Linked DNA regions of Astyanax mexicanus. The protein of the gene in region 1 purifies or fractionates together with the protein of each later gene. This does not show direct contact. Links are inferred from orthologs where the notes say so. Each region holds a gene or a part of one and is shown in the gene's direction. Other genes may lie near its edges. The genes, in order: map3k14a, timm13 and cad.

Region 1 (3,756 bases):
ATCTGTCAGTTTGGGTGGATGACCATTTCTTGGTACACTGTAAGCCCAGATAAGTTGAATTTATTATAAAAAAAATGGAGGAAACCGGTTGCCTTAAAAAAGTTAAGTAATGGGTTGTCTCTCACATATGTCTCTTAAAGGTTTTTCTTGTTGTTGGTGAGGAAGGCGACATTTATACACGTATCAATGTGCACATGTGAGGCGTTTCAGGGACAGATTCGTTTACATTACACACAGATACAGGTCACTTATATTTGTGAATGTGGAATGAGGCTTGTAAGCCTAACAAACCTCTGAGGTCAGAACAGAACACGTTCTAAATTACAAGGCTAAATTACACACAACTGGACTCTATTTGACAAATTGACTTCTGAGGGCAATTAATTGCAGTAGATTTTATTTCCACGTGACACTTTTTTAGATTTGTATATGAATAAAATTTGGAAAGCATAATTTTAATTCTAACAATTAAAATTAATAAAATAGATTTAAGTGTGTGGTTGTAAGGTAAAAAATGAGAAAAACTTAAAAGAAGAATGAATACATTTGAAATCCACTGTATATGGAAAAAATAAGAGACAGATCAGTTTATCTGATTTTGCTATTTATAAGTACATGTTTGAGTAAAATGAATATTGTTGTCTTATTCTATAAACTACGGACAACATTTCCCCCAAATAAAAAAATTGTCATTTTGAGCATTTATTTGCAGAAAATGAGAAATGACGGAAATAACAAAACAAGATGCAAAATTTTCAGACCTCAAATAATGTAAATAAATCTCATAAAGAGTTCAGAAATCAATATATTGTGGAAGAACCCTGTTTTTTAATCACAGTTTTCACACATCTTGGCATGTTCTCCTCCACCAGTCTTACACACTGCTTTTGAATAACTTCATTCCACACATAATGCAAAAGCAGTTCAGCTTGGTTTGAGGGCTTGTGATCACCCATCTTGCTCTTATTTATATTCCAGAGGTTTTCAATTTGGTAAAAATCAAAGAAACTCGTCATTTTTAAGTGTTCTCTATTTTTTCCCAGAGCTGTATATACAGTGTAACACCATAATGCACAGGATGTAAACACTTAAAGTCTATGATGAGCTAAATGTGCCAGAAGGAACTGAACAGTTGTTATACATTTTTTGCTGCATTTCTTTGATACAGAAGAGGCATTTAGCATTTTGTAAAGACCAATACAGTGTCACAATTATTAACTTCTCTGCTCTATATTGATAAAGTGTCTATATACTGGTTTTGATATCAGTCAGAGAGCCCAGAGCTGAAGCTCTGCTGAGTATCTGGAGGAGGAGGAACCTCGAGCAGAGGCAGCAGCAGCTCTCAGACCGCAAGCACAACGACACACATACGAGACATTCGCCTGCGTTTTCTTCACTTCTCACACATTAACCGGTGAGTTTACTTCACTTTCACTACTCATTGTGTGTACAGTGTCTGTTCGCTGAGCTGGAGGTGACGGAGGAATCCACTTTATTCGAGTTTATTTCAGAGAGAAAAGCTGTTTTGTTTAATAAGTGAAATGGCGGATTAAAGAAGGAGGAAGTGGAAGCAGCTGTATCGCTAGCTCAGCCCTCCTCGACTGAACTCGGCTGTAAACCTCTGTTTCAGCGCTGAAGTTAGTTTTATGGACGGTTGGCTGTTTAACCGAGTCTTAAACTTATATTTTTTGACCATTTTTGCTTCCTAGCTTTATTAGGTTAGCGAGTTTTTGTAGGAAATGCTTTACTTTATTAGGAAGCCAAGTTGTGCAAAAACAGTTAACGTTAACTGCTAATTAAGGTAGTTAGCTTAGCATACATTTACCTCAGAAATATTAGCTAGCTAACTAGGTAACCGACTGTGTTTAGGTGTTTAAATGTTCTGTTTTATTAAATAGCATTTAAAGAATATGTTCTGTAGTTTATGGGTTAAACATGTTTAGATAGGTTAGCTGTCCTGGTTCAAATTATGGGTGTAACGTTTGGCCTTCATTTGAAAGACATCATTTCCTGAACTGTTAACTCTAACGCTAATTCACTGCAGGCTCCTTAAGACCTGCCTGCTAATGATGTTCATGAAAGGTGAGCAGCATCACACCTGCTCTCTTACCTGGATTACAACACAATTACACCTCCCCTACCAACTCTGAACAACTCAACAACTCTTTAACTTTAGTTTGAAACAGATTAACAATGTTGGGTCCCAACATTTATTATGCAGGTGCATCTAAAAAAATTGAGTATCATTGAAAAGTTAGAACCTGAAACTTATATGTTACATAGATGTATTACACACAGAGTGATCTATTTTAAGTGTTTATTTCTTTTATTGCTGATGATTATGGCTTATATGGCTTACAGCTAAGGAAAACCCAAAAATCAGTATCTCAGAAAATTTGAATATTACATAAGACCAGTTGTTACTTTTGGCAGTGTGGTCAGTGTGCCAGGTCCTTCTGGAAAATAAAATCCACATCTCCATATAAGTTGTCAGCAGACGGATGCATGAAGAACTGTAAGTTTTTCCGGGAAAACACTGCACTGACTTATATAACACAGTGGGCCAACAACAGGAGATGGCATGGCTCTCCAAACCATCACTAACCATCAGTAAATTTAATTTAATTTGAAAATCAAGGGACCAGAGTCTGGAGGAAGAGTGGAGAGACACACAGTCCAAACTGCTTGAAGTTTAAGAAGTCATGTCATCTTCTGGTGTTGGTCCACTGTGTTATATCAAGTCCAAAGCCAGTGCAGTGTTTTCCCGGGAAAATTTTTACAACACTTCATGCTTCCCTCTGCTGACAACTTTTATAGAGATGCGGATTTCATTTTCCAGCAGGACTTGGCACACTGCCCAAACTGCCAAAAGTCCCTGTTGGTCTTATATAATGTATTAATTTACGGAGACACTGATTTTTGGGTTTTCATTGGCTGTAAGCCATAATCATCAACAATAAAAGAAATAAATGCTTATTTTTTTAACTGAATTACTGAAATAAAGTATTTTTTCAATACTATTCTAATTCTTTGGAGATTCACTTGTACACTATATCTTTTCAGCATCTTCTTTTCAATATGGGTGCAGAAGTAGCTTAACAAAAATGACCAAAAATTGTATTTTAAAAATAAAACCATATTAAAGTACACCAGATATATGCAGCAGCTTCTAAACTAATGTAAATATGATTAATATAGGCAACACATTTAGCGTATTAGTTTTTGAATGTTTTTTTGTTCGTGATTATCATCAGAGATGCTAGGAATATTTATTTTATTATCAGAATAAATTTAATTGTATTTATACTGCACTAATGACTCAATAATAGAGCACTAATAACATGGGATATGATGCTGTTTTATGAACGCAAAACCTGAAAGGTAGCTGGCATAATGACTGGCATGGACATAGTCCACATTGTAAACTGAATATAGCTTTGTATCCATGTTGTATTTTTAGCTTCTCTGTGTAAGCAGGTGTCCTTGGTGTGAGTGTGTGTATGTTGTGTTTAGTAGATGTTGCCTGAGCAGCCAGAAAATTCCCACACTAAAATGTTCAACACTGAATATCTGAAATATAAACAAATAAATCAATACTGAATAAAGAAATACTGTTATTTCACATCTAAATTTAAAAGAAATTTGAAATTCAAATACATTTGCGTCTTGGTTTACTTGGTACAACATGTTTGCATACATAGTATTAGCTTTTGTTATACTGCAGCTTTGACATTCATTTCTAGAAAAATACTGTGC
Region 2 (3,756 bases), on another chromosome or scaffold:
ACAGCACAGACAGTGTTTAACAAACTGTTATCATACTTTTACTGAAATTTTTAATTCCCTTAAACTCAGAACTCATAAACAAGCCTGAAAACAATATGTATGCCAGGTATGTATGTATTAATCAAATGTTCAAAGGTTTATTTTTTCTCCCTATTTCTTTGTCATACCTTGTAATGATGTGTGCAGCATGTATTGTAAGTGTTTCCTGTGGAAGATTTGTTCCAGTTTTTACGCGTAGAACAAAAAACACGTAGCTAATATATTGTCGTCTGAACAAAAACTTGTATGTCAAAAAGTTATGCTTTAATAAAAATTTCATTAATAATTTGTGCATTTTAATGGTTAATGCATGAGTACATTTTGTCATGAATACAGTCAGATACAGTACCAGATCTCCCTTCTTAGTTAATGTTTTTTTTCTTTATTTTTATTACTTTCTACATTTTAGACAGAGGTGTCAAGTAACTAAGTACAAATGCTTACCTTACCTAAGAATAAATATTGGTTAGCTATACTTTACTGGAGTAATAATTCTTCACACAATTATCTGTACACCTACTCCTCACATTTTCACAAAGTTATCTGTTAAAATCGCCTCGTTACTCCTCTTCCATTATTCTTACATTACATTACATACTAAATCCCAGTGTTACCTTAAAGAAGGAGCATTTAAAATAATGTTTTAGCTGAATCTGTGACTTAATAATTCGTCCTTATAAGAAAGTGACCCAGTCTGCTGCTGCAAAAAAGAAAGAAAGAAACTTCATTTCCCATAAACCCTCTGTCTGCGGAAGCAGTGTAAGCAGTTCCTCCGGTGCATCTGAAGGGCATTAGGGGAAACAGTCCATGTGAGAGCCTCACGGAGGGAGTAAAGCCGGATACAGGGCAGTTTTAGCGAATTAGGGTTTATTAATAAACACAGAAATATGGACAGCTTCGGTTCAGATTACTCCTCCGCGGCGGGGTCCGGGAAAATGGACACGGGCACTATAATGGAGCAGGTGAAGGTGCAGATAGCGGTGGCGAACGCTCAGGAGCTCCTGCAGGTAACAGCACAGATCACACGCTCAGGCTAAATAACCCAGCACTAGCCTAGCCTAGCTGCTCATTACAATCTCCACATTACAGATTAAATACAGCTAGTTACCCACAAAACAACTGCATCAGATAAGGTGGAACCAAACAGCCAATTGGGAAACAAACATATTAATCAAAGAGTAATGAGTCATTCATAGTCATTCATTACTGAAACCTCTGTTTCTCCTGAGCTGCTGTGCTCTAAATAATCCAGCAGTTAAAGGGGACATTCAAAACTCATTGAAACAGTACAGTAATGTAGTATACAGCTCTGGAAAAAGAATTAAGAGACCACTTCATTTTCTGAATCAGTTTCTCTGATTTTGCTATTTATAGGTAGATGTTTGAGTAAAATAAACATTGTTGCTTTATTCTATAAACTACAGACATTTCTCCCCAATTCCAAATAAAAATATTGTCATTAAGAGCATTTTTTTTGCATAAAATGAGAAGTGGCTGAAATAACAAAATATGCAGAGCTTTCTGACCTCAAATAATGAAAAGAAAAGTTTATATTCATAAAGTTTTAAGAGTTCAGAAATCAATATTTGGCGGAAAACCCTGTTTTTTAACACAGTTTTCATGCATCTTGTCATGTTTTCCTCCACCAGTCTTACACACTGCTTTTGAATAACTTTATGCCACCCCTGGTGCAAAAATTCAAGCAGTTCAGCTTGGTTTGATGGTTATGATCATCCATATTCCACTTGATTATGTTCCAGAGGTTTTCAATTTGGGCAAATCATAGAAACTCTTAAGCGGTAAATTTTATTTGTAAAGGAATACACTAACTAGGGGTGTGCCATATCGTAACATATATAATAATATCTCCATAATATTTGAATATCGTAAACAATATTATATTCTGCTGCTTTTAGCCAAAAAAAATAAATCTAATTTCTCGTTTCCCATTATAGCTACTAGAGATGAATTATATCTGATTTATTTTACTTCAGTCCTATATATATTTGGAGTGCAGTAGAAGTATCATCACTTCTTACCCACAAAGGGTTGGTTTTCAGGTTTTCATTCTAAAAAATAGCTGTAGACCTGATTCTATTTGTTATTAATTGGGCCTGTCTTTAAACAGATGACAGACATGCTGTGTTTCTGCTTGGCTGGAATAAAAACCTTCAGTGACACCAGCCCTTTTGGGGAAATAACTGGATAACTAACTTTGGTTTAAAGGTGTCCTCAGTCTGATATTGGCACACTTGTATTTGATTGTAGACCCAACCAAGGTATCGATTTGTTATGTATTATTTTCTCAGAGAATGACAGATAAGTGCTTCAAGAAGTGCATTGGCAAGCCTGGAAGCACACTGGACAATTCAGAACAGGTAGGAATCAGTTTTTCTCTTTTTTACTTGTGTATGTGTACATGCATATATGATACATTTATTCCTGCAAGGTTCACCATGACACAACAGATTTTGCATTTTTGTTTTATTGGGAAAAAGACAATTTTATTTTTCTACTTTTATGATTTCTAATTATAATAAATGCAGTCATATTATGCACTTTCACGGTCATTGACAAAAGCTGTTTTTTTTTTTATATATATAAATCAGCCATAGCATTTAAAACATTTTTTGTAATATTGTCATGCCACCAAACCAGCTCTGACCAGTCAAGGCATGGACTCCATAAGACCTCTGAAGGTGTCCTGTGGTATCTGCCACCAAGACATTAACAGCAGTCCTGTAAGTTGTGAAGTGGGCCTTCATGAGCATCAGTGAGCCTTTAGCGCCCATATCCCTGTCACCAGTTCACCGTTTCACGGTTCACTAACCTTCTTTGGAGCACCTTTTGGTAGGTACTGACAATTGCATCCTGGGTTCCCCCAATAGACCTGCCTGATGTTTTTGAGATGCTCTGACCCATTCATCTATCAGTCAGATTAGGCTTTTTTATGCTGACTCAGACCCTCATACTTGCCTTAAGTTTAAGAACTGACTATTCCCTTGCTTACTAGTGTATCCCACCCTCTTTTTCAATTTATTTACAGACGGTTTCTGAGTTTCTAAAATTGTTATTTTGTTTTTTTTTGCAGAAATGCATCGCCATGTGCATGGACCGGTATATGGATGCATGGAACACAGTCTCTCGCGCCTATAACTCTAGACTTCAGAGGGAAAGGGCGCGAATGTAATGCAGAATCCATCCAGTTGGACCTCAGTGTTAACCTGAATCCCTGGGTATAGAGGCTTGGGGTACCAGTGGATCAGCCCCGCCCCTGTAACACCCAGAACTGGAGAACCATCCAAGGAATCGGGAGATTCTGACTTTTAGACCCAAGTTATTTCCTTTTTCCCCCCCTTAGGCATGTTGAATGTGGGTGGACAGTTACACTCATGGAAGGTATTTGATTATTATATTGCTGTACAGAGGCAGAATAATCATTTCAGGTTTGGTTAAAATTGAGTTAGTATTAAGTCAGATGTTTGAGGATCAGGTTCATCTTGTGACACCTCTGCTACGTCAGAACTATATTTGTCTCAGTTAAACTGTTGTCACAGTTACTGCCTTTTGGTTCAGTAAGGCAGTGTATTGTCCTAGCCATGTCTGCACTGAAGAGTGTTGTGTAGCAGCTGTTTCCAACTGTTGGACAAGCTTTATAGAACATTGAACAGATAGAACAAATTGCATTCAGTCTATCCTGATTTCATTAAAATGTAA
Region 3 (3,756 bases), on another chromosome or scaffold:
AGGTATTAGTTATATTTCATAATATTTATTTCAGAAGTAGTCACAATAGAATGTAAACCTTTTAATACTATCATTTGACAATTCTTACATGGTTTAATTACGGTTCTGTATACTCAACTAAAATTAAACAAACCAATGGTTACTACCCACCAATGACAGTATTACTATCAACAGTAAAACAGAAAAAGAAACCCTGAAAGCCCTCTGTTGAACTGCAGGTCAAATGACAGTAAGACTTGCAAAATGGGCTACAAGTGATTATTTGATAAAATATATACTCAGTTGAAACTTTGTCACAAAATCAGAATGAAATACTTTATGAAATATTTTTTAAAAAGGTTTTTTAAAAACAGTTACAAATTGAACAAAAAATGAGTGTAACCTTTATATTTTTAGATTGTTTTTAACAAAACAATTATTATAAAAAAATATTGTCAGGAACTCCTGAAGTCTTGTCATTTGTGACCAGCTAAAAACACTAAAGTACACTACACTTTCATATAATGAAGCATAAAGCATTTGCCCCGCCCATCTTCATTCGCCTTTTTGCTGTGTCGAGTAGTTTGTAGACGGTCCCTTAGCTCTCGTGCAGGTCGCGGCAGCCCATAGACGACAATGTGTTCTGTGGTTTTCTAAAGGCAGATGTTTGAGAGGGGAAAGACGTTGTAGCTGCTTGCTTTGGATGTCAGCATATAAAATAAGCAAGTATTAACCATTTTGCACACACAGTTCAAAAGCTATTGAAGAAAGAAATCCGAATATGCGAATATGAAACCAACTTTACCGGAGTCAAGAAGCACATGCTCAGAAAAAAAAAATAACATCATTAACACAAAGCTAAAATTGTATTTTGTACTCCTGTTGTGAAATGAACACTCATTACACTCATTGTGTACAACTATTGTTGTCTTTGTCTAAAGGTTTATGGGCATTTTAAACCCGTGGACGCGTATCTGTGGATTTTTTTTTCATAATCCTAAACCAAACCAAACCAAATGTATGAGTGGACTGTTCTATTGGTGAATAAAAACAGTTGCTTCTGCAGTGCTTTTTCGCACAGCTGTGTACTGAGTGTTGAAACCAGTAGATATTGTTGTGTTGTTATCTGAAGATACTGTGTTGAAACAGAAAAGAATCAGCTCTTTCCTGAATGAAAAATCACTACCGGGCCTGTCTTTCTTCGCCCCTCCCCCGGGGCGGAGTGTCGCGGAGCTGGGCTCTAGATTTAAGGCGCTGCGCTGGGGCGGCGGGTTTCCACGCTGCTGTGGCTCCGGACAGGGCGGTGTGGACTCGGGCTGCTGCTTCACGTTATTCTTTACAGACATCGGGAAAGGAGAACAGTTTCGTAAGACTCTACTCGTCCACAGTCGTGACCTCCTCCTCCTCCTGTGTGCTGAAAGCGCTCCGCCGCACACATACCGATTATCACGTGGGTCTATCGTCTCCACGAAAGAGGAGAAAAGTCGACGCCGTGGCAGTTAAAAAAACTCTGCTCCACCACCAGAGTACCCCATCTGCTGAGCGCTCTGTGTCCAGGCTTTAACTAGCTGTAAATATGTCGGCGAAAATGGCATCTTTGGTCCTAGAAGACGGAACCACGTTTAAAGGCCGCCTGTTCGGGGCCAGTGCCTCGGTATCTGGTGAAGTTGGTAAGTCGCTGGTTGCTTGGCGGAACACCGTGTTTACAGAGGGGCCTGATAGCCGGATTTACTCCGGTCGTGGCCCCTTGTCACACTAAAACGGCTGTAGTGTGAGGATAGAAGCAGCAGCAGCGATGCTAACTGCGTAGCTAGCCTGAGGGCTCTTACTGAGCTCCACGTGTCCTTCCTTCGCGCCGGATTGTTGAAAGACGAGCAGACGCGCTCATCCGCTGAGCTACAGCCTGTCCCCATACCTAGAGACCAGAGAAATAACCAGCACTCTTACATCTGTAGATCAGAGTAGATGATCTTGCAACATACATGATGAGTAAATCCAGTATTTCCACGCTTTATTTATCAGTTTATATAGCTAAACAGCTGACCAGCCTGAACTCGCGACTCTTTAGATGTTTGTGGCAGGTCCAGTGTGGTTATAAAATAAGTCCAGCTGTTTCTGTTTACAGTGTTTTCCACTCTGGTTATATTGTAAGAAACTAAGTCCAGTGTAAAGGTGTTCTAGCTAAGGTACGAAACGTTTTATAAGAATGCGCACAGACCTAATGTCCGTCCCATTTAATTTTAAATTCACTTATGACGCTTTCTATTAAAACATCTGTTGAGTAAGCAGGAATGCATGTAGGACAAAAAGTGTGATCATCTTTAACATTAACTGTCTTTACACCTTTTCAGTTTTCCAGACAGGAATGGTTGGCTATCCAGAAGCACTTACTGACCCTTCATATAAATCTCAGATATTGACTTTAACCTACCCACTAATCGGGAACTATGGTGTGCCCAGTGACGAGGATGGTGAATTTGGCATCAGCAAGGTGAATAATAATTTGCATATTTTTAAATTATGGCAAATTGCTTGTCAAATAGCAATTTAACTCTTTCAACATTTTTCTCTGTAGTGGTTTGAGTCTTCTAGGATCCACGCCACTGCGCTTATTGTTGGTGAACTTTCTCAGAATCCCAGTCATTGGAGTTCAGTCAAATCTCTAGATCAGTGGCTCAAAGAGCAAGGCATCCCAGGACTAGAGGGTAAGATAATAAGTTTTCTTGAAGAACATACATGCATCCCTTTACCCTGACACTCTGCGCCTTTTAGTAACTGTACTATATTAAACCCAGATCAGTATTAAGCAACATGGTTTGAATGTTGAATTTCTAATAACATTAATATTTACATGTATAAAGTTAGAGAAGCTAATTTACATAACAGAACTCTACTCTGCTATTCAGTTATCTATTGAATTGAATCAATAAATTTGGACTGCTCCTGACTTTTCCTCTAAAAGCAGGTTATACTCATAATATAGCTTTAATTTATTCTGCAATAGTGGATTTCTATGTATTGTGATGTTAAGTGGAGTAAGCAGGTCTGGCCCCTCTGCTTTTTTTATAACCTGCTTGCCATGTTCTACATGCTGTTGATGTTTTTGCAAAATAGGAGTTGACACCCGTTGTTTGACTAAGAAGATCAGAGAAAAGGGAACCATGCTTGGAAAACTTGTGGTTGAAGGGACACCTGCGGAGAACATCCTGTTTGACAATCCTGACAGTCGGAACTTGGTGAAAGAAGTGTCCGTAAAAGTATGGATTGACAAATAATATTTGCAGTATACCCTTTTCATAAATTATCAGCATTGATTTGTTTTCCCTCCCTTTTACCACAGTACATTTCAAACTTGAGTATTTTACTTTATACTACACTACATTATAGAATGTCATTACATTTTGTGAAAATACAGAATGCCAAAACAAAAGAATCATGAAGCAAGTGACCCAATTCAGGGTGCAGCATAGTTTTGCCTTTTTGGACATAGCTGCCTATACGGATTAACATTTTATAAAACAGTTTGAACATTTGGAAATACATGTTCCTACATTAAATCATTTAATATATGGGCTGTATATAGAAAGTATAGTAAGGAATCTATGTGACCCAAAGCCAGTTGATCCCTAAAAAGTAGTATAGTAATAAAGTAGCAAATAAATCTTAATAGACATCCGTGTCTGACTGATCATGACATTCTATTAAATTATTGCTGTCTTTGCAACTAAAAAAGTTGATTAAGGAGGAGTCTTGTTACATTATGATCATAGGACATAA

What was found.
Region 2: the proteins of map3k14a (region 1) and timm13 purify together in Homo sapiens (affinity purification with mass spectrometry; 3 studies listed by BioGRID and IntAct, with this or other methods). This does not show direct contact. The link is inferred for Astyanax mexicanus from reciprocal best matches to the Homo sapiens genes MAP3K14 and TIMM13.
Region 3: the proteins of map3k14a (region 1) and cad purify together in Homo sapiens (affinity purification with mass spectrometry; 3 studies listed by BioGRID and IntAct, with this or other methods). This does not show direct contact. The link is inferred for Astyanax mexicanus from reciprocal best matches to the Homo sapiens genes MAP3K14 and CAD.

The regions. Positions count from the first base shown.
Region 1 is NC_064426.1:23,748,292-23,752,047, forward strand, and holds the start of map3k14a (mitogen-activated protein kinase kinase kinase 14), read left to right. Parts: upstream 1-1,288; 5' UTR 1,289-1,414; intron 1,415-3,756.
Region 2 is NC_064423.1:26,851,128-26,854,883, reverse strand, and holds the start of timm13 (mitochondrial import inner membrane translocase subunit Tim13), read left to right. Parts: upstream 1-784; 5' UTR 785-926; coding exon 927-1,046; intron 1,047-2,348; coding exon 2,349-2,417; intron 2,418-3,130; coding exon 3,131-3,229; 3' UTR 3,230-3,756. UniProt on the Homo sapiens protein: Mitochondrial intermembrane chaperone that participates in the import and insertion of some multi-pass transmembrane proteins into the mitochondrial inner membrane.
Region 3 is NC_064408.1:56,415,799-56,419,554, forward strand, and holds the start of cad (CAD protein), read left to right. Parts: upstream 1-1,224; 5' UTR 1,225-1,555; coding exon 1,556-1,649; intron 1,650-2,330; coding exon 2,331-2,470; intron 2,471-2,554; coding exon 2,555-2,684; intron 2,685-3,093; coding exon 3,094-3,236; intron 3,237-3,756. UniProt on the Homo sapiens protein: Multifunctional protein that encodes the first 3 enzymatic activities of the de novo pyrimidine pathway: carbamoylphosphate synthetase (CPSase; EC 6.3.5.5), aspartate transcarbamylase (ATCase; EC 2.1.3.2) and dihydroorotase (DHOase; EC 3.5.2.3).